Linked DNA regions of Sus scrofa. Each later gene encodes a partner of the first gene's protein in a complex. Links are inferred from orthologs where the notes say so. Each region holds a gene or a part of one and is shown in the gene's direction. Other genes may lie near its edges. The genes, in order: CRIPT, RBMX2, SNW1, SNRPD3, CRNKL1, DLG4 and SNRPF.

What was found.
Region 2: CRIPT (region 1) and RBMX2 share a complex: the UniProt entries of both Homo sapiens proteins name them as parts of the minor spliceosome. The link is inferred for Sus scrofa from reciprocal best matches to the Homo sapiens genes CRIPT and RBMX2.
Region 3: CRIPT (region 1) and SNW1 share a complex: the UniProt entries of both Homo sapiens proteins name them as parts of the minor spliceosome. The link is inferred for Sus scrofa from reciprocal best matches to the Homo sapiens genes CRIPT and SNW1.
Region 4: CRIPT (region 1) and SNRPD3 share a complex: the UniProt entries of both Homo sapiens proteins name them as parts of the minor spliceosome. The link is inferred for Sus scrofa from reciprocal best matches to the Homo sapiens genes CRIPT and SNRPD3.
Region 5: CRIPT (region 1) and CRNKL1 share a complex: the UniProt entries of both Homo sapiens proteins name them as parts of the minor spliceosome. The link is inferred for Sus scrofa from reciprocal best matches to the Homo sapiens genes CRIPT and CRNKL1.
Region 6: the proteins of CRIPT (region 1) and DLG4 are in contact, whole or in part, in a crystal structure (PDB 5HED), measured with the Rattus norvegicus proteins. The link is inferred for Sus scrofa from reciprocal best matches to the Homo sapiens genes CRIPT and DLG4. Residues at the interface, in NP_063972.1 of Rattus norvegicus: Lys94, Asn95, Tyr96, Lys97, Gln98, Ser100, Val101; in NP_062567.1 of Rattus norvegicus: Gly322, Leu323, Gly324, Phe325, Asn326, Ile327, Val328, Gly329, Gly330, Glu331, Asp332, Glu334, Ser339, His372, Glu373, Ala376, Leu379, Lys380, Arg399, Phe400.
Region 7: CRIPT (region 1) and SNRPF share a complex: the UniProt entries of both Homo sapiens proteins name them as parts of the minor spliceosome. The link is inferred for Sus scrofa from reciprocal best matches to the Homo sapiens genes CRIPT and SNRPF.

What each region holds. Positions count from the first base shown.
Region 1 is NC_010445.4:93,915,908-93,919,700, reverse strand, and holds part of CRIPT (cysteine-rich PDZ-binding protein), read left to right. Parts: intron 1-1,978; coding exon 1,979-2,082; intron 2,083-2,390; coding exon 2,391-2,455; 3' UTR 2,456-3,793. UniProt on the Homo sapiens protein: As a component of the minor spliceosome, involved in the splicing of U12-type introns in pre-mRNAs. Involved in the cytoskeletal anchoring of DLG4 in excitatory synapses.
Region 2 is NC_010461.5:106,879,307-106,883,724, forward strand, and holds the start of RBMX2 (RNA binding motif protein, X-linked 2), read left to right. Parts: upstream 1-1,605; 5' UTR 1,606-1,640; coding exon 1,641-1,645; intron 1,646-1,839; coding exon 1,840-1,955; intron 1,956-4,418. UniProt on the Homo sapiens protein: Involved in pre-mRNA splicing as component of the activated spliceosome. As a component of the minor spliceosome, involved in the splicing of U12-type introns in pre-mRNAs.
Region 3 is NC_010449.5:100,746,559-100,751,141, reverse strand, and holds the start of SNW1 (SNW domain-containing protein 1), read left to right. Parts: upstream 1-1,727; 5' UTR 1,728-1,817; coding exon 1,818-1,831; intron 1,832-4,583. UniProt on the Homo sapiens protein: Involved in pre-mRNA splicing as component of the spliceosome. As a component of the minor spliceosome, involved in the splicing of U12-type introns in pre-mRNAs.
Region 4 is NC_010456.5:49,595,224-49,598,545, forward strand, and holds the end of SNRPD3 (small nuclear ribonucleoprotein Sm D3), read left to right. Parts: intron 1-628; coding exon 629-821; intron 822-2,559; coding exon 2,560-2,621; 3' UTR 2,622-2,792; downstream 2,793-3,322. UniProt on the Homo sapiens protein: Plays a role in pre-mRNA splicing as a core component of the spliceosomal U1, U2, U4 and U5 small nuclear ribonucleoproteins (snRNPs), the building blocks of the spliceosome.
Region 5 is NC_010459.5:28,105,298-28,109,090, reverse strand, and holds part of CRNKL1 (crooked neck-like protein 1), read left to right. Parts: intron 1-539; coding exon 540-631; intron 632-1,443; coding exon 1,444-1,602; intron 1,603-2,332; coding exon 2,333-2,499; intron 2,500-3,793. UniProt on the Homo sapiens protein: Involved in pre-mRNA splicing process. As a component of the minor spliceosome, involved in the splicing of U12-type introns in pre-mRNAs.
Region 6 is NC_010454.4:52,571,114-52,575,463, reverse strand, and holds the start of DLG4 (disks large homolog 4), read left to right. Parts: upstream 1-1,520; 5' UTR 1,521-1,908; coding exon 1,909-1,938; exon of another isoform or gene 1,939-1,943; intron 1,944-4,350. UniProt on the Homo sapiens protein: Postsynaptic scaffolding protein that plays a critical role in synaptogenesis and synaptic plasticity by providing a platform for the postsynaptic clustering of crucial synaptic proteins.
Region 7 is NC_010447.5:87,619,908-87,624,339, reverse strand, and holds the start of SNRPF (small nuclear ribonucleoprotein F), read left to right. Parts: upstream 1-1,476; 5' UTR 1,477-1,600; coding exon 1,601-1,603; intron 1,604-3,453; coding exon 3,454-3,579; intron 3,580-4,432. UniProt on the Homo sapiens protein: Plays a role in pre-mRNA splicing as a core component of the spliceosomal U1, U2, U4 and U5 small nuclear ribonucleoproteins (snRNPs), the building blocks of the spliceosome.

The sequences.
Region 1 (3,793 bases):
ATTTTACACAGAACTAGAATAAATAATCCTAAAACTTATATGAAACCATAAAAGACTGGAATTGCCAAGGCAGTCCCAAAGAAAAAGAACAAAGCAGAAGGCATAACCCTCCCAGACTTCAAACAATTCTACAAAGGTGCAGTAATCAAAATAGCATGGTATTGTCAAAAAACAGACAAATGGATCAATGAAACAGAATAACAAGCCTAGAAATAAACCCACATACCTATGGTCAATTAGTCTTTGACAGAGGAGGCAAAAATATACAGTGGGAAAAAGACATTCTCTTTAGCGAGTGGTATTGGGAAGGTTGGACAGCTGCTTATAAATCATTGAAGTTAGAACACACACACTCACCATACACGACGACAAACTTGAAATGGCTTAAAGGCTTAAATATGAGACATGATCCCATAAAACTCCTAGAAGAGATCATAGGCAAAACATTCTCTGACATAAATCATACCAGTGTTTTCTGAGATGAGTCTCCCAAGGCATAGAAATAAAAACAAAAAAGAAACAAATGGGGCCTAATCAAACTTACAAGCTTTTGCACAGCAAAAAAAAAAAAAAAAAAAAAAAAAAAAAAAAACCATAAGCAAAATGAAAAAACAACCTGCAGAGTGGCAGAAAATATTTGCAAATGATGTGACTAACATGGGCTTAATTTCCAAAATATACAAACAGCTCATTCAACTCAACAATGATATAAGAAACTACCCAATCGGAAAATGGACAGAAGACTGCAGAGACATTTCTCCAAAGAAGAAATAAAAATGGCCAATAGGCACATTAAAAAATGCTCAACATCACTAAATATTAGAGAAATGCAAATCAAAATTATAAGGAGATACCACCACACATTAGTTAGAATGGCCATCATTAATAAGTCTACAAATAGCAAGTGCTGGAGAGGGTGTGGAGAAAAGGGAACCTTCCTACACTGTTGGTGAAGATGTAAATTGGTACAACCCAACCACTGTGGAAAACAGTATGGAGTTTCCTCAGAAAACTAAGGATAGAGTGGGATCTAGCAATCCCACTCCTGGGCATGTAGCCATACAACTGTAATTCAAAAAGATACAAGCATCTCAATGTTCATAGCAGCACTATTTACAATAGCCAAGACATGGAAGCAGTCTAAATGTCCATTGATAGGTGAGTGTATACAGCCATAAATTCAATGGAATACTACTCAGCCATAAAAAAAAATGAAATGCCCTTTGCAGCAACATGGATCAACTAGAGATAATCATACTCAGTGAAGTTAAGTCAGAAAGAGAAGGACAAATACCATATGATAGCGCTTGTATGTGGAATCTAAAATATAACACAAACAGGAGTTCCCTGGTGACCTAGTGGTTAGGATTCGACACTTTAATTGCTGCGGCCCAAGTCACTCCCTGGTCTGTGAACTGAGATCCTCACATCAGGCTGCTGCATGCTGCTGCCAAATAAATAAATTAATAAATTATATATGACGCAAATGAACCTGTCTACAAAACAGAAATAGACTCAGGACAAGGAGAACAGACTTGTGGTTGCCAAGGAAGAGGGGGTTAGGAAAGGGAGTGGGAGGTTAGGGTTAGCAGTTGTAAGCTATTTTACTTGGAGGAGATAAATAACAAGATCCTACTGTATAGAACAGAGGACTATATTCGATAGCCTATGGTAAACCATAATGGAAAAGAATATTAAAAAGAGGAGTTTGTGTGTGTGTGTGTGTGTGTGTGAGTATCTGTATGTATATATACACACACATATATATAGCTGAATCACTTTATGTACAGCAGAAATTAAGACATTGTAAATCAACTTTATTTCGTAAATAAGAGAGTGGCCAGCTAGAAGAGTGCTATAACTATCAACAATAGAGTTCGATAGAAGAACAGAGAGCATGGATTAATCATATGTGTTGCTTAAGTGAAATTTAAGTGTCTTTATTATACATTTTTCTTTCTTAAAAAATAACCTTTAGATTTGACCCATATGGAAAGAATAAGTTCTCCACTTGCAGAATTTGTAAAAGTTCTGTGCACCAGCCGGGTTCTCATTACTGCCAGGGCTGTGCTTACAAAAAGGGTGAGTCTTTTAATACCATTTTTGTATTCATATCAAACCTACTTCTTTTGATATTGATTTTGATAACATAGTAAAGGAGTAGCCCATCATAAATCCTGTTAGTCAAATGCTCTTTTTTCTAAGACAAAATTGAAACTTAGAACTTGTAGTTAAAAGTATATATTTTATTTTTCCCTTTTCTGATGTTGTTAAATTATATTTTAAGCTTCAGGAACAACTTAAATTGTTGGTATTAGCTACTTAAATTGTTGGTATTGGTGTCATTAGTTATCATTTGATTGCTTACATGTGTTGTTTGTTTGTTTTAGGCATCTGCGCTATGTGTGGAAAAAAGGTTTTGGATACCAAAAACTACAAACAAACGTCTGTCTAAATGTATTGAAGTATCTACTTTCCATATGATTTACTTTTTGCTTTGAATTTTCAAGGTATAACATAGATATTCAATTTACAAAATAACATGCCTTTAGATAATTACGTTTAAACCAGGGAAGTAGATGGGTATTCATTCTTTTGCTCTCAAGAAGTTCTGAATGGCAACAGTATAAAGTTTTCTGCCTAAAGGTTTTATTTTCCTTACAAATATCTTACTGAACTGGAATAAGTGATAAATTAACAAAAAAAATATTTTCCCAGTTCTGTATGCACTTTTTATTTATCATTACTCATATAATTTTTATTATCTTTTTTTCTACTTTATATGTAGATCTTGAAAAAGTGAGAAGGAGGTTATTAATATTGGCTTTGAACTTGGCATTTAGATTTGTAATTCTTCACTCATCCCCTTTTTATTCATATAGTTCTTAGGGTCAGCAGTCCCTTAATTAATTGTGGCTTCATAGAGCATTTAAATATCTGAGACCATTGTTGCTAAATAGTTCCTAAGTGATTAGCTCAGACCCAAATCAAACAAAAGTTGTATTTGTGGTATTTTTGATTTGTTCTTGAAGCCAAAGTGCCAGTACCTTTCACATGAGAACAGGAACACAAGGGATACCCTCTATGTGTCCACATCAACACACTGGATTTGAGAAAAACACGTATTACACATTACCTTGAATTCAGACCATCATGAAAGCCAAGAGAACAGTGTGCATCTATCATGATAGATCACAATCCTTTGGGAAAGTGCTTTGAAGTAGAAACTAAACTTTTTTTTTCTTACTTCCTCTCCTTTTCCACCCCCCCCCCCGCCAAATAAATAGACTAAGCAAACATTTTTATTTTTATTTATTTATTTATTTATTTTGTTTTTTGCTTTTTAGGGCCACACTCTGGCACATGGAGGTTCCCAGGCTAGGGGTCGAATCGGAGCTACAGCTGCTGGCCTGCACCAGAGCCACAGCAATGCGGGATCCGAGCTGTGTCTGTGACCTACACCACAGCTCACAGCAACACCCAGATCCTTAACCCACTGAGCGAGGCCAGGGATCAAACTCACAACCTCGTGGTTCCTAGTTGGATTCGTTTCCGCTATACCACAACGGGAACTTCTAAGCAAGTTAAATATATGTAACATAGATTGCTAAAAGACTACTTTGAGGTTTCAAGGATTTTTCCTATGTTGCCTTCAGAGGCACAGGACTTTTGCTTTTGAAACCTGTTAACTTACTGTGGGAGACAGAAAAAAGTATTCCCCATTGCCAAGTACAGTATAAATACATATCACTATCAAATGTGTAGAGGAGATAACATGATGCTACACATGGTA
Region 2 (4,418 bases), on another chromosome or scaffold:
AAATGAGCTCTGCATACAATGAGTGGTAAATGAATGTTATTGGTGGAGAAAGGAATAGAAGCTGGGAGAGCTGAAATCTGTCCCAGTTTGCCTGGGACATCTCCATGGATAAACTTCCAATGGGTAAGAATTGCTAGGAACTCTGATGACCGAGGCCTAGGTATTGCTCCAATTCTCTCATTTCACAATAGCCTGAAGAATCCATCCAGATAATGCTGCATGCTAGTTTACCACTTTGCAGTGACTACTTCAACCCTACAACTAAGCAACCTAAGGTTTCTAGGAGCAGATAAAACCTGTATGCAATCTGTCACTGTTTAGTTTTCATTGCCAAGGTAATTCTACAAAGTTAATGAATAGCTGGGTTGGAAGTGGGGGAGGGGGACAGACACAAAAACTGTCATTGGTGGGCAGCCTGTTCTGCTTCTTGGGAAGACATTGGGTACATGGTGAACCATTGAGGGTACAGTTGTCACTGTCACCATCATCAAAGTGCTTTTAATTTCTGGGGCTGTGAGCTAGGCCTACACAGAGAACTATACAGCCCCATAATTTGACTTTGACATAATTTGCATGGTCTAAGGCCAGAATTGATGTGGACACATGCAAGATGGATTTGAATCTTCAGAATGGCTTAATTCACACATTACATGCCATCATCTCTTCTACAGGTTCCTGATTATTTCTGGAGTCAAATCTATCAAGCCCTGTCTCCTCAATGATATTATTAGCTCTTTGAAGGCAGAGAACCCAACCTTACATTCCCATCTGCAGACTTACTGTATAGGACAAATACAGATGCTCAGTAAGGACCGATAAATCAAGTGGATCTGATGGATAGAGACAGAGTACCATCCAAGTTATTTAACTCCTTTAAACTCAGTTTCTGCTACGAAACGGGGAGGATAATTGTATCTAAGCCTTCACAGGAGGGCCAATACATGTAAATTGCTTAGCACACAATCTATCATTACCTGCTCAACTGTTAGTTATTAATTTAACAATACCAATTCCTACCTCCTGCTTGAGTAGCAGACAGACTATGGAAAACGGTTAGCAGCATTCACACAAATCTGGGTATTCAATTCAGCCTATGGAGGCACAGTGGTCAGTTGCCTATGCGGTGCGATTTGAGACAAAAAGATTTACCCTCTCACACAGCTTTTTCACATTTCTGCTGTAACTCCTGAACAGGGATGCTTTCATGGCGGTGTGCGTGTGAGTAATTGGCTGGGAGTTAAGGACAGAATGAGGATTTGCACTGGAAGAGAAGGATGGGACTCAAGTCGCCGTTATCAGGCACCTCTCAAAGTCTTCCTTCAAAAAACATTTATAGTTAACCCAATAAATGCCAGGCATCGTTTAGGAGTTCGGAGTCCTGTAACAAACCAGGCTCGCACCCTCGTCCAACTCCAAGCACGGTGGAAGCGAGGGTCTACAGAAAAAGAGCGACATCGGCGGAACAAGAGAAGCCGCTTACTGACGTAGTGCGCAGGCGCCACGCCCCAGCGCGGCCCGGCTCTTCCGGCGCGGCGTAAGCGCGCAGCTGAGACCAATGGGCGCGCAGCGCCGGGTCGCGCATGCGTCTTGCAGCCTCTCCCGGAAGTCGCTTCCTAGGTGCTGAGGGCGAACCCGCGGAGATGAAGTAAGGCCTCAGGTTCCTTTTGGGAAAAGGGGACAGGCGGCCGGGGGTAGTTCACTGAAGCTGGAGTGGTAGAGCACTTGTGAGGCTGAGGAGCGGGGGAGGCGCAGATACTAGAAAATTAGTCTCCCAGTTTTGCTCTCCTTTACCTCAGGCTAGGCCGCGCTTACTTGTCCGCTTTTCCGCCCCTTGTGCAGCCCTTTAACTAAAGTGAAGCTGATCAACGAGCTGAATGAGCGTGAGGTCCAGCTGGGGGTGGCGGAGAAGGTGTCTTGGCACTCCGAGTACAAGGACAGCGCCTGGATCTTCCTAGGTGAGGCCCACATCTTTCTCCCGCAGGGCTTCTCATTCTCTCCTGGCCTGCCTCCTAACATTTCAGCATTCCCGCCCATCATTCCTCCCGACATTCATCACCCACTTTTATTTACTTCCACTGTCGGCCTATAAATCCGTTTTCCAGGTCGCTTTTCTAGCTCATTTCTAGTTTGCTCTCGCTGCCAAATCAGCGTTCATGATAGGTACTGCCTGCCATTCAGTGTGCTAAGAATCGTGCCGTTTGGTTTCTCAGAGACTGTTATTATCATCCTCTTGTCCTCTAGTTATACACCTAAGGAAACTGAGATGCAGAAAAGTTAATGGACTTCCTTCAGGTCGCATAGCTAGCAAGTGGAACAGCAAGAACTGTGGGGTTTGAGAACTCCTGGTATCAGCCACTATCCGGTATTACTGCCAACTCCCTCTCCCTTCATTACCCTTCACGCAGAATTTATTTCCCCGTCCATGGCCACATCATCATTTCCATATTCACTGTGTCACATTCTGTAATTTGACAGTTTATTCGAAGAGATTATTACAACAGACATTGTGCTAGGCACTTTATAGCCATTGTTTTATTTTCATTCTTATTACAATTCTGTGAGGTAAGTGCCAATATCCCCATTTTACAGATGAAGAAGGAAACATTCGTAGGGGAATTTATTTCCTATGAAATCCTTAACAATTGTGAGGTGGGGTTAATATTTTTTTTTTCCCACTGTACAGCAAGGGGATCAGGTTATCCTTACATGTATACATTACAATTACATTTTTCCCCCACCCTTTCTTCTTTTGCAACATGAGTATCTAGACAAAGTTCTCAATGCTATTCAGCAGGATCTCCTTGTAAATCTATTCTAAGTTGTGTCTGATCAGCCCAAGCTCCCGATCCCTCCCACTCCCTCCCCCTCCCATCAGGCAGTCACAAGTCTCTTCTCCAAGTCCATGGTTTTCTTTTCTGAGGAGATGTTCATTTGTGCTGGATATTAGATTCCAGTTATGAGTGATATCATATGGTATTTGTCTTTGTCTTTCTGGCTCATTTCACTCAGTATGAGATTCTCTAGTTCCATCCATGTTGCTGCAAATGGCGTTATGTCGTTCTTTTTTATGGCTGAGTAGTATTCCATTGTATTCCATAGTATTCCACATCTTCCAAATCCAATCATCTGTCGATGGACATTTGGGTTGTTTCCATGTCCTGGCTATTGTGAATAGTGCTGCAATGAACATGTGGGTGCACGTGTCTCTTTTAAGTAGAGTTTTGTCCGGATAGATGCCCAAGAGTGGGATTGCGGGGTCATATGGAAGGTCTGTGTATAGATTTCTAAGGTATCTCCAAACTGTTCTCCATAGTGGCTGTACCAGTTTACATTCCCACCAACAGTGCAGGAGGGTTCCCTTTTCTCCACAGCCCCTCCAGCACTTGTTCTTTGTGGATTTATTAATGATGGCCATTCTGACTGGTGTGAGGTGATATCTCATGGTAGTTTTGATTTGCATTTCTCTTATAATCAGCGATGTTGAGCATTTTTTCATGTGTTTGTTGGCCATCTGGATATCTTTGGAGAAATGTCTATTCAGGTCTTTTGCCCATTTTTCCATTGCTTGATTGGCTTTTTTGCTGTTGGGTTGTATAAGTTGTTTATATATTCTAGAGATTAAGCCCTTGTCGGTTGCATCATTTGAAACTATTTTCTCCCATTCTGAAAGTTGTCTTTTTGTTTTCTTTTGGGTTTCCTTTGCTGTGCAAAAGCTTTTCAGTTTGATTAGTTCCCATTGGTAAATTTTTGCTCTTATTTCTATTGCTTTGGGAGACTGACCTGAGAAAATATTCATGATGTTGATGTCAGAGAGTGTTTTGCCTATGTTTTCTTCTAGGAGTTTGATGGTGTCCTGTCTTACATTTAAGTCTTTCAGCCATTTGGAGTTTATTTTTGTGCATGGTGTGAGGGTGTGTTCTAGTTTCATTGCTTTGCATGCAGCTGTCCAGGTTTCCCAGCAATGCTTGCTGAATAGACTTTCTTTTCCCCATTTTATGTTCTTGCCTCCCTTGTCAAAGATTAATTGACCATAGGTGTCAGGGTTTATTTCCGGGTTCTCTATTCTGTTCCATTGGTCTGTCTGTCTGTTTTGATACCAGTAGCACACTGTTTTGATGACTGTGGCTTTGTAGTATTTCTTGAAGTCTGGGAGAGTTATGCCTCCTGCTTGGTTTTTGTTTCTCCAGGATTGCTTTGGCGATTCTGGGTCTTTTGTTGTTCCATATAAATGTTTGGATTGTTTGTTCTAGTTCTGTGAACAATGTCATGGGTAATTTGATAGGGATTGCATTGAATGTGTAGATTGCTTTGGGTAGTCTGGCCATTTTTACAATATTGATTTTCCCAATCCAGGAACATGGAATATCTTTCCATTTCTTTACATCTTCTTTGATTTCTTTGATTAAAGTTTTATAGTT
Region 3 (4,583 bases), on another chromosome or scaffold:
ACGTTGCTGTGGCTCTGGTGTAGGCCGGCAGCTACAGCTCCGATTCGACCCCTAGCCTGGGAACCTCCATATGCTGTGGGAGCGGCCCAAAGAAATAGCAAAAAGACCAAAAAAAAAAAAAAAAAAAAGTCATTGAAAAAAATTCAGAAACTATTATCATTAGGCATATCTTTAGTCATCATATTAGAAAAGTTTATTATGAAACCATTATATATATACATATATAACATAAGATAAAGCAAATGAGTAATTATCTTAACACATTAGGTACCAATACCATCATCTTCAGAAGAGATATGCATATAAAATCAAAGTTAGGTAAAATCTGTGTAATCCTAATCTTGCATTGGAACTATTAGTATGAATGCATGATGGAGTTTCTCAAAAAGTATGATTGGGAGTTCCCGTGGTGGCGCCGTGGTTAACGAATCCGACTAGGAACCATGAGGTTGCGGGTTCGGTCCCTGCCCTTGCTCAGTGGGTTAACGATCCAGCGTTGCCGTGAGCTGTGGTGTAGGTCGCAGACGCGGCTCGGATCCCACGTTGCTGTGGCTCTGGCGTAGACTGGTGGCTACGGCTCCGATTAGACTCCTAGCCTGGGAACCTCCATATGCCGCAAGAGCGGCCTCAAAAATGGCAAAAAAAAAAAAAAAGTATGTGGATATGTGAACTTTCTAGCTCTGTCCACTGAAAAGGTTTACAAACAGCAATTGCCCAGTAACAGTGAGCATTTGTAGCATCCAGGTCTTTTTCTCTAAATATCACTTTTCCACTTAAAGGAAAGCTCCTTGGAAAAATGACTGATTGAAAGTCTAGGGCAGAAAAAGTACTAAACTAGCCTAGAACGTCGTGTCACACCAGAAATCAAGAGTTGGAGGTGGAGTTGGAGGTGGTGTTGCTGCCTCTGCTCATACTACGGTGTTTGGTTTGTGAATATTCAAACTATACACTTCTGTAGGCAACGTTTCTGTATGTGTGCTATGCTACTATTAAAAGTTTGTTTCTATACCATGGAAAGTTTCCAACGTATAAAAAAGTAGAGAGAATTGTATAAGGAACACCATTTCCCCATTATCTAGCTTCAACAGTGATTAAAATTCATAGCTAACCTTGTTTCATTTACAGTATATTCCATCCACCTCCCTCTTCCCACTGTGAAGATTTCGTTTATCCTATCACTTCATCAAAGACTATGTTGAACCCACAAACTATGTAAAAGACAATCTAAGCCATACATACATAAAGACATACATACATAATACACCTAAGGAGTGTTCCAAAGATAATTACTAAGGATCACAAAATACCTCCCCTGGAGAGTGTTTTGGAGGTGGAGTGTTACGTAGGGAACCGCGTGTAAAAACTTTTGAGTATGAAAGTTTTCAGAGCGCCCAAGAACTCTCTATTCTCCAGTCTCACAATTTCCCAACCATTTGATTTAACCCAACTCTTATTTAACGTTCCCCCCCCCGCCCCCCGAAGGCTTTTGTATTTGGAACCATAACAAAAGAAATGAGACAGAGTGGGGAATAAAAAAAGACTTAAAAAACATCTCAAATTTGTTAGTATTTTGCCTAGGGAATGCTGTATCATGTCATAGTGTAAGAGTGATGCATTTGCGTTTTCTTAACTGAAGCGCTTATTCTGTAACTGGTTAGAAAAGAACCAAATTGTAATCTTGCGCAAAGAACTACAAATCCCAGAAGGCCCTTCGGCTAGGGCGCCTGCGCATCGCGCGCTCCTTCCTCTCCCCAACCCTTCGCGGGTAAAGACCCGCCCCGCGGTACTGTCGCTCGCGCTGGAAGAAGCGGAAGAAGATGGCGCTCACCAGGTGGGTTGTTGATTGGGGTCCTCGATACGGAAGGGTCTGGGAGTACCCTCCGTTTTTATTTCTCTGTTTATAGTCTCCGGGCGGTAGCCAGGCCCGGGCCACAGAGCGACTAGGCCAAGGCTAAGCCCTCCCTCCAGCCGCCGGGACGACTAGGCCTCTCCGAAGCTGGGGTCTTTCCCGAGTGGCTTCCCGGGTTGAGTTCGCCCCCTCACTAGGGCCGAAAGCCGCGGCATGGCGAATAGTTCTCTGGTCTGAGATGCTGAGGATTCGCACGTGTTTTTCGCTTAAGCATTTTGGGGTGGTGGAGATCGCTCCTTCGGGTCCGCGGCTCGGGTGGGCGCGATGGGGGTATGGAGGGCAGTGGCTTATTTGTCTGGGCGGAGTGAGGCGGGCAGGAGGCGACGGCCGGGCCGTTTGTTTGCCGAAGTCTTTTCTTTCTCTGTCCCGAAACAAGGATTCCTTGAAAAACGGGGCCCGACACTGAACGGAGACTTCACATCAGCCACAGTAGTGGCCGCTGTCTCCTAATTCGCGCCGCTGCTCCGCACTTTAACATCGGATCTTAGCATTTCTTCCATAGATAGAACTACTTCACATTTTTGCTGTTCCCAGTTGCCTTGGCAACCGCAAGTAAAGTGGTCCCCGCCCTTAAGAAAAAGATGCTTAAGGAGAAATATTCCTAGTTGTTACGTAACTCCTACTAGTCTGCGACCTTGTTGCCCCATCTAAGAAGAAAAACTTTTCTTACCAACAAACGCCGAAACAGAAAAAGTTGGGTGTCAAACAGGGTAAGGAAAGTAGTCGTGTTAGGAGATCCGCTTGGACTCCCTAAACACGCTTCATTCCCCTCATACACATTTTTCCTGGCTGATGACAGTTAAGAATCCTAAAGATATTCGAATTAGTTCTTTGGGGGATAACTTTCGGGTGCCTTGGTCTATCCTAGGGACTGTGTATATATAGAAGGAAATCTGACAGTCCTTGGCTGCAGGGAAGATGAAGTACAGGAATATAGATATTAAAGGACAACACAGAATGCTTATTGTGTTGTACTAACCTTAATTGCAAAAAAATAAGATGGAATGGGCTAGATGAACTGGAGAGTTTTCTTTAGTAAATAAAGGTTGCAGGCAGCAAATATTCGATTGAGTGCCCTCCAGATGGGAGGCAGTGTGACAAAGACTAGTAGAATTAGGAAGAAAGGCTTTGTGGAAAAAATGGAATTTGAAAATACCAGACATATTGTGGTTATTTTGTGCTTAAAATTGCAGTGACAGAGTTCAGTCTTTAAATAGTTTGTCTTAGGAACTTACATAGCTTTCTGGTTTTGTTGAGTTTTAGCTGACTTGATTTTTAGAGATGGTCTCAAGTTTTCAGGTAAAATATTATTATCTCTAAGATCTACCAGGGATTCTTAACAGCAGGGACTTGACATATTGATGTATTACAGTCTTGGTATCACAGTTGATTGTTACTAACTAAAGATCTAAAGTCATACTGATTTAACTTTCTGAACTCCTGTATTTAAGGTTATGTATCAAATAATTTCATTTGCATTTAATACAATTTCTTTAATAAAGGGGAAAAGATAGACTAAGGTGCCTGTACAGTGGCACTGTTGACATTTTGGACTGGATATTTCGTTCTTGTCTTGGGCATATTAAGATGTTTAGCAATATCTTTGGCCTCTACTCACTAGATATCAGTGGCACCTTCACTCCCTCTCTCCCCTTTACCCCCCAAATTCTAACAATCAGAATAGCTCCAGACCTTGTCAAGTATCTACATTGTAGATAAGTTGCCCCCTGTTGAGAAACACCGAAGTAGACTTTCTGTTTACATATGCAGCCCACTCCCACTATAGAAGTGTATTTCATTATGGGAATGTCATCCTTTATGGGGAACAAGGAGATTAAGACCTTCTGGAAGGCTACGGTGTGTTCTCACCATAATCCAGGTCAGGCTACCTGTTTACTGGATTGTCCAAACTCTGCTTTGGCAGGGTGCCTGCTTTTTGATCATTTTAGTAACTAGTTCTATCAACAGTGCGTTAAGGATCCCACATTGTCACTGCTGTGGCCTTGGTTGCTGCTATGGCTCGGGTTTGATCCCTGGCCTAGGAACTTTTGTATGCCGTGGGTGGGGCCAAAAAGAAAGAAGGGGAAGGAGGGGAGGAAGAAAAGAAAAGAGAAATGAAACAAATATTTTGGCTTCTTTGTTACTGTCTTTGTATCCCTCCCATGTATTGGGTACTGCATGGTTTACCAAAAAGCCCAGAATTTTGATTCCATTCATCCATCCATTTATTCATTCACTCAGTAAATATGCATGTGTTGAAAATCCACCATGTGCAAGGCTAGTGTTGGTTTTACAGCATTGAATCAGTCTTATCCTCACAGCTTACATTCTAGGGGAGACAGACTAGGAGTAAACAAATCAATGATGCAACTTCAGGTATTAAGTACTAAGAATAAAATACAGATAAAGGGATAGAGAGTGACTCAGTGTGGAGTGGAATGCTGTTTTGGTTAAGGTGGTCATTTAGCAGCTGCGAGGGAGGTATAGTGGAGCTGGGACATGAATACTAAGAAACAAGCACTAAAAAGTTTGGGAAAGCGTTTTCTTGATAAGTAAATAGAATTTTTTATGGCAGTGGAAAAGCAAATGTAAAGATCCTGAGACGACTTGTTTAAGGAAAGGCAGTAAGGTTGTAGTGACATAAAAATGGTGAGTGCAAAGGGTAGAGTGAATT
Region 4 (3,322 bases), on another chromosome or scaffold:
GCGAGAAGGGATGCAGAGCTGGGGCAGGCAGTTCTAAGCTGTTGCACTTAGCGTTTCTCACTGCTGAGAGCATGTCACATGCTGGCAGGACAGGCTGGATGATAGCACTCAGGCCAGGCCAGCGGGTTCAAATTGGGAGTCCCTGCGTTTTATGTTTAAAAATGGGACTTCTCAGAGTTCCATTTATGGCTTAGTAGAAACGAATCTGACCAGCATCCATGAGGACACAGGTTCAGTCCCTGGCTTCGCTTAGTGGGTTAAGGATCTAATGTTGCTGTGAGCTCTGATGTAGGTCACAGACATGGCTCAGATCCGATGTTGCTGTGGCTGTGACGTAGACCAGTGGCTACAGCTCTGATTGAACCCCTAGCCTGGGAACCTCCATATGCCATGGGTGCAGCCCTAAAAAAGACAGAAAAAGGGAGGGAGGGGACTCTGCTACTATGAGTAGTACCATATATGTAAAGCGCTCAGCACAGTAGGTGCCCTTGAGTCTGCCCAGCTTTATTTTGTGGTGCCAGTTTCTGTATTTCTGGACTCCCCTTCCACTAGCCGAGGTTTGTCTTCCATGGGCACTATTCTCTGCTGGCACTGTTGGCCCTTCCTCACCAGCTGGTATTCCTTCCAGATGTCTAACATCACAGTCACATACAGAGACGGCCGAGTGGCGCAGCTGGAGCAGGTGTATATCCGTGGCAGCAAGATCCGCTTTCTGATTCTGCCTGACATGCTGAAAAACGCACCCATGTTAAAGAGCATGAAAAATAAAAACCAAGGCTCAGGAGCCGGTCGGGGAAAAGCTGCTATTCTGAAGGCCCAAGGTAGGTGCTCCTCTTGCACTGGTTGTGACATGTGAGTGTGTCCTGTACCTTTTACGAATGGGCCTTGTTATTGCTGAGGTGTGGGTGACCTGACTTCAGTGTCTCCACACCCACTGCCACCTGATCCTGTTCACAGGCTTATGCAAAATCCCAGGCGGCTCCTTGGAAAAAAGATGAGGACTTAAATGAAAGAGCAAATGTGTCCTGTAATGAGTCTTGGAGGCCTTTTGTTTTTGGAAATTCTGGGGAAAGTTGGCCCTGGTCCAGTTTGCTGAGCAGAGGCCCCTTGCAGTGTGACTTCTAAAAGCAATGGGGTAATAGTTTCTCAAGAGGCTGGGGGTGTCTACTGATTCCCAGCATCAATAGGGGAAATGTGGAGGGAATCCATTTTCAGATGAGAAGGAATTGTGAGCCATCTTTTTACCCATTCATTAAAGGGGGCCGAACTTACATTTTTGAAGCTTCTTAATGTTTGAAAACAGTCCTTCCTTTATAGTGCATTTGGAAAGACTAGTCTCTTCCTGGTTACTTGGTCTGACCTTTTTTCTGGGTTAGCCTAATCAGTTTTATATTTGGGTCCTGAAAAGCTCTGCTCCCCCTATTGATTAGCTAAGAAAGCCAGTGCAGTCATTAGGAGCAGTCTTAGTGTTGATGAGAAGATTCCAGTGCAGAAAGGTCACTGGATTCCCACCTCACTGTCTTCAGCTGCTATACATTTGTTCTATGTGAGGCAGCTTTTGAATTCAAAGACCCAGCAGAGTAATCCTTTAAAATGCCCTCCAGAAAGCTGATCAGACAGTCTCCTTGCCCTTCCTAGATGAGCAGTGGTCATAGGGAGATAGAACTAGAAGCTCAGGACCTTTTGTCCTGAAGAAGCAGTGATTTTCAGAAGTGCCAGCTTTGTGCTAGAACTGCTGTTCTCTCTGCAGGGGAGGGCTGCCCTCGTTGTCACTAACTGTACCAGCTTCCCTAGCAAAAGACACTGGGAGGCACTTGGCAGTGGCCCCCTGACTGCCACCTGAGCCTCTGTGCCGCTCCCATCCCCTTGCTATGGTCCTCCCAGCTAGTGGCCAGGCTCTCACAGGGCTTCCCTCTTCTGGTCAGCTCCGGGCTCTATGAGAGGAGGTGGGGGCAGTTAGTTGCCATCAGATATTTTCACTTGTTCTTCAAAGGAGTGGCCCTTCCTAGAACCCATGGGTCACAGAGACAGCAGTCTTGTTGAGCCCTGTATATGGGGAGTGGTTTTTGTTTTTTGTCTATGTTTTTTTCCTTCCTATTATGAAACATTTCACACATGCAAAATAGCTCAGAAAATAATAAAAACCCTCACCCAGATTCAATAGATGTTAACATTTAATATGTTTGTTTCACAATTTTAAGTGTGAATTAAATGCATCTGTCATGTTTTATTAGCTCACCCTGGGCCAGCTCTGAGACTTAAGCTTCTCTGTGGTTCCTAGACTGGCTTCATAAAACACCTTCGCTCTCAGGACTTGGGCTCTCATGGGGACCAGTGCTGGGTTGGAAGGTGGGAGGCCTTCCAGTTCTGATGCCAGACACTGGTCTCCTCCCAGGGTCTCCATTCCTCCATGCCCAACCCCCATGAAATGTGATAGGGCAGACGTGGTGCTGGACCGGGTGGCCTTTCAAGCCCCTTCCTGGGCCGATGTCTTGGGGTGCTGGCTGCTCTTGGCGGAGGACTCACTGACCTGGCCTTGTCCTCTTCCTTACCTTTCAGTGGCTGCGAGAGGGAGAGGACGTGGAATGGGCCGTGGAAACATTTTCCAGAAGCGAAGATAAATTTATCTGTTGGACAGAACTTTGCCCTCATGTTTTCTTTAGGTTATCTGGTTGTGAGGCAGGAAGGTGTGTGCTGGTGTATATGTCCTAGGTTATTTGGCATCTTTTTCTTTAGATCAGGGGAAATGCTACACTAAATAAATTTTTTTTTTTTCTTTTTGAGGATACAAAGACTGTGTTCCTTTTGGAGTTTTTTGTTGTTTGCTTTGGCAGCAGGTTAAACTTTGACACCCTGAGATGTCCTGGGGAAATGCCAGTAGTGGTTATTGATAAGCGAATGCAAGCTGCTGTTCCAGGCTGGTTGCTAGTTAAGCCCTTGGAACAGCTCCAAAAACATAGATGGCCTCACCATCCTTAGACACAGGCACTTACACGGTGTTTGTGAACATCATGACACACGTGGTCCTGGCCTGTGAAACCCTGGTGGCATTCAAAAAAGTAATCAGTATCGAGAGGTAGTTCAGAGAACCTCAAGACTCCTGTACAGCTTCATATGTAGTGTTATGACAGGGGACAGGTTCTTGGCACTTTACCGGAGCACCTCAGGGTTGACTGGCACAGCTGAGGTTCTTAACATAGCGAAGGTAAGTAGAGAGGTCAGGGTGTGCAGAGCAGGTAGCTGACCAAGAACATAGAAACTGGATCCATGGCTTGGAGTGGTCACACACTAAAAAGAGGTCCTACTGGGGTGCCGAGTAGGA
Region 5 (3,793 bases), on another chromosome or scaffold:
CCTATACCACAGTTCATGGCAATGCCAGATCCTTAACCCACTGAGCTAGGCCAAGGATCAAACCTGAGTCCTCGTGGATGCTAGTCAGGTTCACTCACTGCTGAGCCACAATGGGAACTCCGGATGTGAGATTATTTTAAACCACTGATCCTGTTGTATCCACTTATGAAACTCAGTGAGTTATGTATGAAATTCTGAGACATTATCAAAAGGACTTAAATAGTGAAAAACATTTTCTTCTTAGGAACAAATGTAGAGAATATTAAAGTACCAGGTAGTTGTTTCAGGCAGTAAGAAAATAATTCTGCCGATTATTCTTTATATCAAAGGTTTCTTTCTTTCTTTGCATGTAGGACTTTAAAGAAACACTTGTGACTGTAACCTTCCTTAATGGGTTTTTTATTTCTTAAGGATTTGAGGATGTAATTTCTCCTAAACAACAAAATGAATAATTTTCCTAGTACAAAATTTAATAGACAAAACTTGATGTCATTTTTAGTTATTTTCCCTTTAATTTGACCCTTTTTCCCTCTTCCCAGACTTTTGAAGATAACATAAGGAAAAACAGGACTGTAATTAGTAACTGGATAAAATATGCACAATGGGAAGAAAGTCTAAAGGAGATTCAAAGGTAAGATCACTGCGCCTGTAATTGTGTACATAAAGATTCATAAGTTACCAGATACAAAAACCTAGAACGAGTTAACACACGAGTAAAAACGTGCCTGTGGCAATAATTTCCAAAGTTTGTTCCTGGAACCTGGGGTTCCTTCAGGGGGCCTAGAGGCCCCATGGTAGGACAGTCCTGGGGGGAGCTGGGGACACTCTGCAGGTGGGTCTTGCCATCAGCACACACTCTAGAGCCAGAGAAGTGCAGTTTCATCTGCTTTCTATAAATTGAGATTTTTTTGTTAATTAAAATTATTCCACTGAAAACCATTGGCCAAAATGGTGAAAATCACCACCTGACTCTTCCTCTTGTCCAGCGTGTCTTGCCCTCTCCCAGCATGCCCCCTGCCCTGGCTGTGCACCTGTGCTTGCCACTCCCTGTGCATGTCATGTTCACCTAGCTCACCCTGGCACCTGGCTCTTCTCTCCATCTGAATGAGCATCCTCCCCACCTACCTTGGCCTCTGGAACTTTCCCCAAGTTCTCACCTACCACTTAGCCTTTGCCACCAGACATTGTTGTTTCTTCCCCTTTACTTCTTCGTGCAAGACCTTGACTATAACCTTTATCATGTTGCGTTGCAATTTCATGCATGTCTGTCTTTCTCTGGGACTTTTTAAGGTTGCTGAAAACATCACATCTTTTCACCTTTTTGTGCCCAGAACCTGGCTCATGGTAAACACCTGACAAAACAGCAGAGCAGGGCAGATGGTTTCAAATAGTTGCCACATGTGTGGCATGTACTGTTTCTGACATCCTCCAAATCTTCTCAAGGGCTCGGTCCATATACGAACGTGCTTTAGACGTGGACTATCGGAATATCACACTCTGGCTGAAATATGCAGAGATGGAAATGAAGAATCGCCAGGTCAACCATGCCCGGAATATCTGGGACCGGGCCATAACAACTCTGCCTCGAGTCAACCAGTTCTGGTGAGTTTCTGACCTAAGGAATGCCTTTTTAGCCTACAAAGTTCCATGTTTCTGTGTATTTATTTTATTTACATAGTTGTATGTATTTAATTTTATATGCTACTTTTTCTTTAAACATCCTGTCAGTACTTCCTTAGTGTCTCTTAGTCTTTTAAGTCATAACTATGATGTATAATGGCTGTGTAATCAAAATTAAATTTCAGCTTCTATCTTTTTTTTTTTTTTTTTGGTCTTTTCTAGGGCCACACCTGCAGCATATGGAGGTTCCTAGGCTAGGGGTCTAATCGGAGCTGTAACCAGCAGCCTACGCCACAGCCAGAACAACATGGGATCCGAGCCGTGCCTGCGACCTCCACCAAAGCTCATGGCAACACCAGATCCTTAACCCGCTGAGCAAGGCCAGGGATTGAACCCGAAACCTCAGGGTTCCTAGTTGGATTCGTTAACCACTGAACCACGACGGGAACTCCCTCAGTTGCTGTCTTTTATGCATAAGAAATCTCTTGTTGAACTAAGTGATTTTTGAGAAAAAATACTCTTTTTTCCCGATGATTTATCCTTTTTCAGATTTATATTTTAATAAGGAAACATGTTTGATTTAACCTTAGGGAAGAGAAAACCCTAAATCTTCTTTATTTTTAATAAAGTCAGAGCTAGAAATTGCCAAAGACCGTTGATTGCCCTAAGACATTTTGACGGTGGTAGCTAACTTTGGATGTTTTTGTTAAAGGTACAAGTACACATACATGGAGGAGATGCTGGGGAACATTGCCGGGGCCCGGCAGGTGTTCGAGCGCTGGATGGAGTGGCAGCCTGAGGAGCAGGCCTGGCACTCCTACATCAACTTCGAGCTGAGATACAAAGAGGTGGACCGGGCCCGCACCATTTATGAGCGATATATCCTCTGCATACGTCTGTGTTGTGCCGTTACTGTCCCTGTGCTGCATCCCTCTGGGGCTGTCCTGGTGGGGATACACTGGGTCATTGATGTTGGCCTAGATGTCAACATCTGCTTCAAGCTTCCTGTGTATTTTTAGGGACATAGGTGGGTCAGGTAAAAACTTGTGATCTGATCAGTCGCATCTTTTTCCATTGAGACTTTGGTTTGTTTCTCCTTTGGTCTTAAGGCTGTGGTCCTTGTGAAAGATGGCATACTAAGGACCTGGCTGCTGCAGCCAGTCCTCGTTTGTTCTTGGTATATGTTGGTCATTAGCACTGTCCCTCTAGTCTATTCAGGACTTCACATTGACTGACTGTGTGACCTCAGTGAGTCGGTTAACGCCACTGAGCCTTAGTGTCCTCATCTTGAATTTGGTTTTTGTTTTTCGTTTTTTGTTTTTATGTCTTTTTAGGGCCGCACCCATGGCATATGGAGGTTCCCAGGCTAGGGGTCGAATCGGAGCTGTAGCCGTTGGCCTATACCACAGCCACAGCAACGCCAGATCGAAGCCACGTCTGTGACCTTTGCCATACCTCGTGGCACCACCAGATCCTTAACCCACTGATCGAGGCCAGCGATCGAACATTTGTCCTCGTGGATGCTAGTCAGATTCCTTTCCACTGAGCCACGATGGGAACTCCTGTGTCCTCATCTTGAAAAGGGAACTGTGAGTTCCTGTGGTGGCTGACTGTGAAGAGTAGATGGTAACACAGGCAAGCACCATCAGCTGAAGGAGTTGGTTCTCGTTGTTCTCTGTTCTCTCAGCTGTGGATTCTCTTGCTAAAATTTATTTGTAATCCCCGAATCAGTATTCATGGTATTTCAGCAGTCATTCGAGGACAATCTCAGTGTAATGAAAAGTTTGAATCACCCAAGGCACATGGTCCCTGTTGAGGACAAGCAAGATGACCATCTGCCTTCTTGGGTCTGCTCACCTGCAGAGGTGACCAGGGCAGGGGACAGAAAGGGCCATGCAAGGTAGAGCCAGGCGCTCGGGCACTGGGGCCATCTGGACAGGGCTGAATCCTCTTTCTGGCACCACTTAGTGGGTGGCCTGAGGCAAGTCATTTAACACTTCTGAGCCTTGTTTTCCCTTTTATAAAATAAAAGAGAATCTACCAACAGTAGTTGTTTATAGGATATAAGATCACAACCTTTGTGAGATATGGTATTTATACATTTCCCCCAGGACCAGTGATTGGGTATTCACTAGCTGTCAGAGTGACTTCAAAGAATATAACTACTGCAAAA
Region 6 (4,350 bases), on another chromosome or scaffold:
CCTGGGTCCAGAAGTCCCAGATAATTTATGCCCCTTTGCCATTCTCACGGGGGCCAGGCCCAGAAGAGAGTGACAGTTTCCTTTCCTTTTGAGCTGTGGGAGCAGCTGACCCCCTTGCCCAGTCTTCAGGAAAGTGGAGGGGTCACACCTGGCTTTGGGGAGGGGCCAGGGTGTGAGGAGGAAGATGGTGATGGTGGTGGCACAGCGGGCGGGTCGGAGGCTGCCTGCTTTGCCTGGCAGGTCCAGCTGGGTCGGGAGGAGGCAGCTCAGCTCCTCTGACCCTGGGGGGATTAGAGAGATTAAAGTGAGAGAAGAGAGAGATGTCCGAGGGACCCAGAGGTGAAAAACAGGAGTCCTTGTGAAGGAGAGGCCTGGGGGGAGAGGGTGGGCCTGGGGGTCCTTGTCCTGGACCTCTCCAGAGAGTCTGGGGTGAGAGAGCAGAGATAAGAGGCGGAGGTGAATGTGTTGGCGCCTCGTGGCTGGCTCCCTTGTCCCAATCCTCCCTCATTTGCATTTCACCAGCTCCCAGGTCAGCCCTCTGGCTCCTGGCCCCCCCACTATTGCGATGGGCACCCCCTCTCCTCACGGTGCTGCACAGTGACCTCTTCCAGGCCTTGCTGGGTGAGTAGCCCCGATTTTCCGAGGGGCAGCCGTGGAAAGGGCTGGCCTGGGGGCTGCTTGGGAGTCTGGAGATCTTTTGGTAGCTGCAGGAGCCCCAGGCAGGGGTCCTCCATCAGCGTCCACCAGCCCGGGCTGGAGGGGTTCCTCCCTTAGCGGGCAGACGGAGGTGAGGTGATGGCAGGGGCGGCCAGAGAGGCAGGGGGTGGGCGAGGTAACTCGGTGGTTCTGTTCCTGTGACAGACATCCTGGACTATTATGAGGCTTCCATCTCAGAGAGCCAGGTAAGGGGGTGAGGGTGGGGGCCCGACTTCCCGAGGGAGCAGGCAGGGCTGGAGGGGTGCGCAAAGCACTGCTACTATTACCCTGAGACTTGGGGGCCCTGGGACCACGGCCGGAGTCAGGCGCCCCTGCAGCCCCCTCTTCACCTGCCCCAGCTGCAGGCCCCAAAGGGTCCAGGACTCAGTCACTCTTGAGGCTTCCTCCTGTGCGTCTGAGGGAGCTGAGGCCCCCAGGGACTCCCTCGTGCCTGGCCCTCCCTCCCTGCCTGCCCCGAGCACAGCCTCTCTCCAGCGGCCCCGCCACCCTGGCGGCTCCCAGCCCATCTCGGGCTGCTTCCTCCTCCCTGGCTCTGCTGTCAGCGCTGGTGGCTCTGGCCAGGCCTCCATGTTGGCCTCAGGGCCTCTCCGCTCCTGCCTCCATCTCCTTTCCCATTATCCGGGTTCCTGCCAGCGCGGAAGGAGTTAAGCCTGCCAAGGCACCCCCCATTCTGCTCCTCGATCGCTCCCTCCCTCCCCCTGCTTCCTCTCTCCTCCTCTCTCCCCTTCCCTCCTCGGCTCCACGGCTCCCTCGGCCGCTGCCGCCTCCGACCCCCCCACCCCACTCCCCCGCCACGGCCCCGAGCCCCTGGCCGTTAGGCAAGACCCCCCCTTACCCCGGGGCTCCCCGAAATCCAGCTCCCCTCCCCCACCTCAGCTCATGCCCCAGCCCCCGAACTCCGGGGCTGCCAGCCCCCGGTGCCCCCGCCCCTCCTGAGAATCGGGGTGTGCTCCCCAAGCCCCCTCCCCTCCACTGGGGACCCCCTTTTAGGGCCCCCTTCCCCTCCCTCCCACGCTCCCCTCCCCTCCCCTTCTCCAACCCCCTCTTTCCCCTCTCACCCCTCCCCCCATCCTGGCCCCCCCTGCAAAAGTGGGGTGCGGAGGGGGGAGGGGTGAGAACCCAGGGAGGGGAGGAACGAAACTCCGATGAAGTCAGAGCCCCTTACCCGCCGCCGCGGCCAGGCCCCCCAACATGGACTGTCTCTGTATAGTGACAACCAAGGTAAGCCGTGATGGGGGGGCCAGTCACCTGGGGGGAGGGTGAGAGTTTGTGGGGAGGGGTTTGTCAGGCCTAATCTGCCGCCCGGGGGCCCTGGCGTGAGAGCATCCGAAGATGGATTTGGGGGTCATAATTTAGTTTGGGGGTTCACGGCTGAGAAAATGCTGGGTTTGGCCACAGGTGCCCCCTGGAGTGATCCCTTTGTACCTGGGGAGAAATGGAAAATAGGGGGTATTCTGTGACTTGGGGGCTGGTGGATTCTGAGCTTCACCAGTGATGTTTGAGGGAGACTTATTTAAGGAGAAGCCTGGCTCACATGGGAGTCCTGCCCGGTGTGTGTTAGAAGAGGGGCTCTGCGTGGGGGGTCCCCTTCTCCCCTGGGAGACAAACTGGTCTGCAGGTGTCTTGTCCAATTTCAGGGGGGCTCCTGGCTTGGGGGTAGGAGGTTACTGGTTGTGAGGGCCTGACTGGTCTGGGGGTGTCAGCTGGCACGGAAGGGGAAGGCCTTCAGGTTATAGAAGAAGCGTCTCGTGGTAGATACATTTGGGGGTGCTCTCATTTTGGGGGAGCAGTTAATTTAGGGTTCCAGCTTACGGAATGGGGATAGTTGGGAGTTGTCAGCGAGCTAGGGCCTGACATAGGATCACCTGAGGGAAGGGACCAGGTGAGGTTAGGATTGGGGGTGCTCCCTTGGGTGGTGGAAGGTTGCAGCAGCTGAGGCTGGCAGCTCCTGAGGAGGAGGAGGAGGAGAGGTTTGGGGAGAGAGGGGATTTGAGGAGGGGGACCAGGTGCATGGTGCAGAATTTGGGGGTGGCCCAGGCAGATGCCCATCACCCCCATCTCCTCCCACACAATATCTACCCCTGGTTGAGAAAGAGGGAGAAGAGCAGGTGGAGGGGATGTTCCTGTTACCCCTGACCCTTGGGATAAAGGTGGGGGAGGACACCTGGATTTAAGGTTACTGGGGTGAGAAGGAGTCAGAGGAGGGCCGGGCTGGCAGCCGGGAAGATCCGTACAAGGCTATCCCTGTGGTTGGAGTGCCAGAGATCCTGGCTGGCAGAGCTAGCAAGCTCCTGGTGGGATGCAGAATACCCTGGTCTTGGCTCTAGGACTCTGGGACTGGGAGGCTGGATGCCTGGTGTGTGGAGGGAGGCTTGGGCGGGTGGCAGGCAGCTGGGGGTTGGGGGGTGGGACAGGAAGTGGGGGCCGGGGAGGCGGGGTCTGGGTGAGTCACAGGCTGGGGAGGGGGTTATATTTAGTGGGAACTGCAGATTCTCAGGGGAGGGAGCTGAGGACACACATGTTCCCTGCCACAAACTCACACATGTGTGTACACATGCGTCTATACATGCCTCGCTCATGTGTGAGCTTGGACAGAGGCGACTGGGAGCGGAGGACCTTTAGGTCCCAGCCCCGACCCCCTCTCCAGAGCTACTTGCTTATCCCCTGTTCTGCGGGCTTTGGGCTTTCTCCCATGCTGCTGCTTCCTCTCATCCCCTGTAGTTTCCGTGGATTTTTGTGCCTCAGTTTCTCTGGGCTGCTCTCCTTTAATGTCTGTCTGATCCTCAGTTTCCCCGGTGGTCTCCTGCCCGTAGCCTGCCCCTTAGCCTTAGGCTCCCTGGCTCTAGTCCCTTATGTGCAGGTGTATACGGAAAGCCAGTTGGAATGTGTGGGCTCTGCTTCCAACACGTGAACACACATATGCCAGCGAGGGTGAGGGGCTTGCCTGCACTGGCAGCTATTCTGGGACGGGGGGTGGGGGGGTTATTCGTCTTCCTTCAAGAACCCTGCTTCTTCGATGGAGCCCAGGGTTGAGCATTCCCGAAGGAAGGAGTCTTACGCAGAGAGGATCATGCATTTTGGGGCTTTTACAGAGGCGTGGAGACCCAGGCTTGCCACATTCCTTGGCCGCAAAACTTGTCTGTCTCGGGATGGCGGGGACTTCAAGTCCCACAAGGCCTTGAGGCACAAGTTCCCTCAGTGTTAGAGGGTTGCTGCCCGTGGGGCTGTTGGGACTTGTGGTTCATCTCTATTCAGGGCAGCGCAGGGTTAGCCTAGGAGGAGCCAGCAGGGGGCACATGGCACTTGTCCGTCCCCCCCCAAATGCTGGGTGGGGTAGAGGGTGCTCATGCTTTGCGGTCGTTGAGCTTCCCAGCTCCATCTGAGTCCTCCATCTTTCACTGCCTATATTTAGACTCCTGCCGCAGTAATTTAAGGAACATTTATTGATTGCTTACTCTGTGCCGGACCCTATGCATTGTGCTCGCTCTGCCTCTACAGCTATCACTTAGTCTTACTCCGTGCCTATCTCTCTGCCGGTGTCTCTCTGTCTCTGAACATCTCTCTCTCCCACTCCGCCCCCGTCCCTCCCTCTTCTCCCCGCGCTGCTGCCGCCGTTGCCATGGTAACCGGCGA
Region 7 (4,432 bases), on another chromosome or scaffold:
TAGAGCAAAATTACTGCGCTTTCCTGGTGTTCTTTATCATTTAGATGGACACCATTAAAGTAAAATTAAGATCTACCAAACCCTTACATAGCCAAGGATAGTTCCAGCCTCTTTCACATTAATTACTATCTCACAGCCTTGCAGATAGAACTGTTTTTAAAGCCACATGAAACTGAGGAAGCAAACGCCTTCGGGAGTTAAGAAACTGCCCAATACCATTCCCACGTGATAGACGTTCTAAACTCAGACTGCCTCTAAAGTCTTAGCCACTACTCCACAATACCGCAACATTTAAATCTCAATTTTTTCTTCTTTCTTCTTATTTGTCTTTTTGTCTTTTCAAGGGCCGCTGCCGTAGCATATGGAGGTTCCCAGGCTAGGGGTCTAATCCGAGCTATTGCTACCGGCCTACACCACAGCCACAGCAATGTAGGATCGCAGCCGGATTGTGACCTACACCACAGCTCACGGCAACGCCGGACCCTTAACCTCCTTAACCCGCTGAGCAAGGCCAGGGATAGAACCCGCAACCTCATGGTTCCTAGTCGGATTTGTTAACCACTGAGCCACGACGGGAACTCCATAAATTTCAATTTCAAATTCAACTCCTTAGGGCTGCAAAAACAAAAAACAAAAAAGAAAAAAAAATTTTTTTAAAAGAATGTATATATGTGTATGATTGTGTCATTTTGCTGTACAACAGAAACTGGCACAATGTTGTAATTCAGCTATACTGAATTTATATGCAATTTATTTATAATATATATTACATGTATATAAATTTATATCCAAAATGTTTTAGATATATATATATTTGAAAAAAATAAATCCAGTATGAGGACTGTAGTGGGCCTCTGCTCGCAAAGCACAAGAAACAGGTGGACCGGGAGGCCACCACACCGTATTTTAGTCTCTGTCTGACCTCATCTGAAAAATATTCTGCAGTTGACTTTCTTCCGGTGCGTTTCACCTCCTTAAGTCTATCTAGTCTTGCTTCTTCCACTTCCTCTGAGATGGGGTGAAATGAGCACTACAGAATAGAGAGCCATCAGGTAGAACGGGACTGTGGCAGAGGAGTCCCCATGGCTCAGGATCTGTGGGAAAATGAAGAAGAAACTTGAGAGCCCCGAGCTCGTTTTCCCAGGTGTGCAAAGCCAAAGGAAACTCCACCAGCCAAGTTGGCGAGAAATCACGTCCATTCTGCAGGACAGACAGCAAACCCTCGAGGCAGGCGAGCAAACAGGCAACTCGAGCCACCTCTCTGCCTTTGCAGTGCCGCAGGTATCAGACCCATGCTGCTGAAGGTTTCCTATTTCCTGCCCCCGCCGGGAAGGCGCTCGGAAACTCGAGCCTGCTGGTTGCCAGGAGACAGGCCCCAGTCACTTCCGCCAATCAGCACGCATCTTTTTGCATCCAATCACAGAAGCCGGAAGAGCCGTAGTCGGAGGGGAAAGGTCACGCTGCTATTTGGCGGCCATTTCTCTGGAAGCTTGGTGGCTGGGAAGTTGCTGTAGCCAACTCCAGTCCACGAGGGCCGGACGGCGCTGAGTCGGCGGCGGGTAGTCTGCAGCATCTGCCCACTACAGCAGCAGTAGTCGCGATGGTAAGGAGAAAGAGAAGGTCAGAGTCGCCCGTGTGGGGGAGAGAGAGAGAGAGAGAGGGCGGGAGGGCGGGTGACCAGCTTCGCCGGGCCTTCGCGCGTTTCCCATTCATCCGCGTGAGGCCCCGCGCAGCCTGTGGCCAGCCCCTTTCTGCCAGTTCTGGGTGTCTGACGCACGCCCTCCTTCCCCTCCCTAGGAATGTCCCCTTCCCCCTCTTCTTCGTTTGAATCTGAGCCTGAGCTGCTCTTGCTGCCTGGGACCACAGAGTTGGAGTAAAGATGAAGCGGTTTTTCACGTACAGCTTACAGCACTCCAAAATCCGCTTTTGTCTGGTGATGCTGGGAAGCCCTGCAGCCCTTTGGAATACTGAGCCCGAGCTTTGAGCATTCATTTGTTCTCTTAGCAAATTTTTACTGAGCTCCTGCTACCTGTCAGGTGTGTTCTAGGAACTAGGACTATAGGGCGAGAAGTACTGGTGTGGCCCCTGCTCCAGTTTAAGTCGGTGTGAGAGAGAGAGAGACATTGATCAAATAACGACAAATACATAATTTCAAATAAAGTTAGTGCTAAGGAGGAAGCACACAGGATGCTATGAGGGGGTACCATGCTACGTTAGAAGTGTTTAAGGATGGCATCTTTGGGAGAAGGGATTTAACCTGAAACTTAAACGATATGAAATACACACCCTTAAAGAGGCGGAAGAGTGTATACACCAAGCTCAGGAAACATGAGCATAGACTCTGAGCCTCGAAAGAAAGCCTGACCAGTTGGAGGAATTGAGAGAAAGCCACAGCTGCTTGCTAGGATGGAGTGTTGGGCAAGTATTAGGCAGTTTTAGGAGGTCTGAGTTCTACTCCCGGGTCTACTTTGGAAAGCCATCAAAACATTTTAGGTAGAGATATGATGTGATAAAAAATACTTGCCGTGTGGCTAATAAATTGGAGAAAGAAAAGAGTGAAGACCATAGAACTATTTGAGATCACTCTGAGTATGCTTATCCTAGAGGGGTTTAGTAGCCAAGTTTCTTGGTTCTTTTCTCTCTTTGGGTGGATGGGCCAACAGATGAAGGAAGGGGGAAAAGTCTGAATTCGTTGGAGATACTGTTGCATTTGCTGAATAAACAAACATTAAGTGATTGATTGCCTATATGTAGGAGTCACTGCTAAGTCAAATAAGATCCAGGCCTACCTTTTCATAGTGAGAGACTCAATTATGATCTGCCCCTGCCTCTTCAGTAACTTCATACAAAACTAACTTTTATGTCCCTGAGATCACCTTGCCGAGTCATTCTTCCCTCCTTTTGCATAGGTAGCCTCCTCTGCCTAGAATAGCCTCTTTCCCTCTGGAAATATCTGTCATCCTTTAAAACAGGCATTTACTTACTTCAGGCAACTCTTCCATTTCTCTTAACACTGGATTGTTTGGTATCATGTAATAGCATTCTCCTCTTACTACATTACAAAGTAATTGCCCACTCGTGTATGTTTTGACCCTTCCCTCCCACTGTAGGTCTCTTAAGGACAGGGACTGTCATCTGCCTTTTTTTTTTTTTTTCTTTTTTTTCTATTGCCTTTTCCTTGGTTTCATTATATTTTTGGAACAGTGAGTGAATGTTTCTTAAGTGAACATTGAATAAGTCTTGATGGGGTTGATGAAATTGACTGGCTGGATATTTCTTTGAAGTTCTTCCACAAATAAAAGTGAAAATTATGTAATAACGTGAGATGGAGTCAAGAGTTTGCTTCATTTGGATACCACAGCATATTGGTAATTTGGCAGAAAAGAGTAGGTAATAGAAACCAAGCTAAAGAAACTTATTCAGTTGGGTTCTTTTTTTGTTTTTGTTTTGCAGAGTTTGCCTCTCAATCCCAAACCTTTCCTCAATGGGTTAACAGGGAAGCCAGTGATGGTGAAACTTAAGTGGGGAATGGAGTACAAAGGCTACCTGGTGTCTGTAGATGGCTATATGAATATGCAGGTAAGTGGAAGAGTTATGAAGATCATTAGATTGTATTTATTTTTCTTCATGTGACTTCTCAAAGGTTTGGTGTGACTTACAGGGATATAATTAATTGACAAACAAAGCAAAATTAAGGGGTCAAATCAAGGCTAAGGAGGATGTTATAATTTGATGAACTTTGTATGAGACATATTAAAAATTCAGCCACAGGAGTTCCCCGTCGTGGCGCAGTGGTTAACGGGCCCGACTAGAAACCATGAGGTTGCGGGTTCGGTCCCTGCCCTTGCTCAGTGGGTTAAGGATCGGGCGTTGCCGTGAGCTGTGGTGTAGGTTGCAGACGCGGCTCAGATCCCGCGTTGCTGTGGCTCTGGCGTAGGCCGGTGGCTGTGGCTCCGATTCAACCCCTAGCCTGGGAACCTCCATATGCCGCGGGAGCGGCCCAAGAAATAGCAACAACAACAACAACAACAAAAAGACAAAAGACAAAAAAAAAAAAAAAATTCAGCCACAGATTTGATTCCCAGGTGGTTAAAAGTAAGAAGAGCTCAGGCGTTTGATTCACAATGTCATAAGAAAAATATACTGATTTGTGGGGAAAGCAAAACATCCCAGCACTTGGTCCGAGAGAACCTTTTCCAGTGAAATTCGTGTCTTTTGATAAATGCTAAATGTACAAATCTAAGTAATTTGATAGAAGCAGTTCTTAAGAGAGAAGACAGACCAAAGGAATTGATGAACTGACTGTATCCGATAAACTAGTTCTGTAAATGTTTGAGCCAGGTTTTTTGTTTTTTGTTTTTAATAATGGTAAAATATATATATAACATAAAATTTACCACTTTAACCATTTTTAAGTGTGCAACTCAGTGGC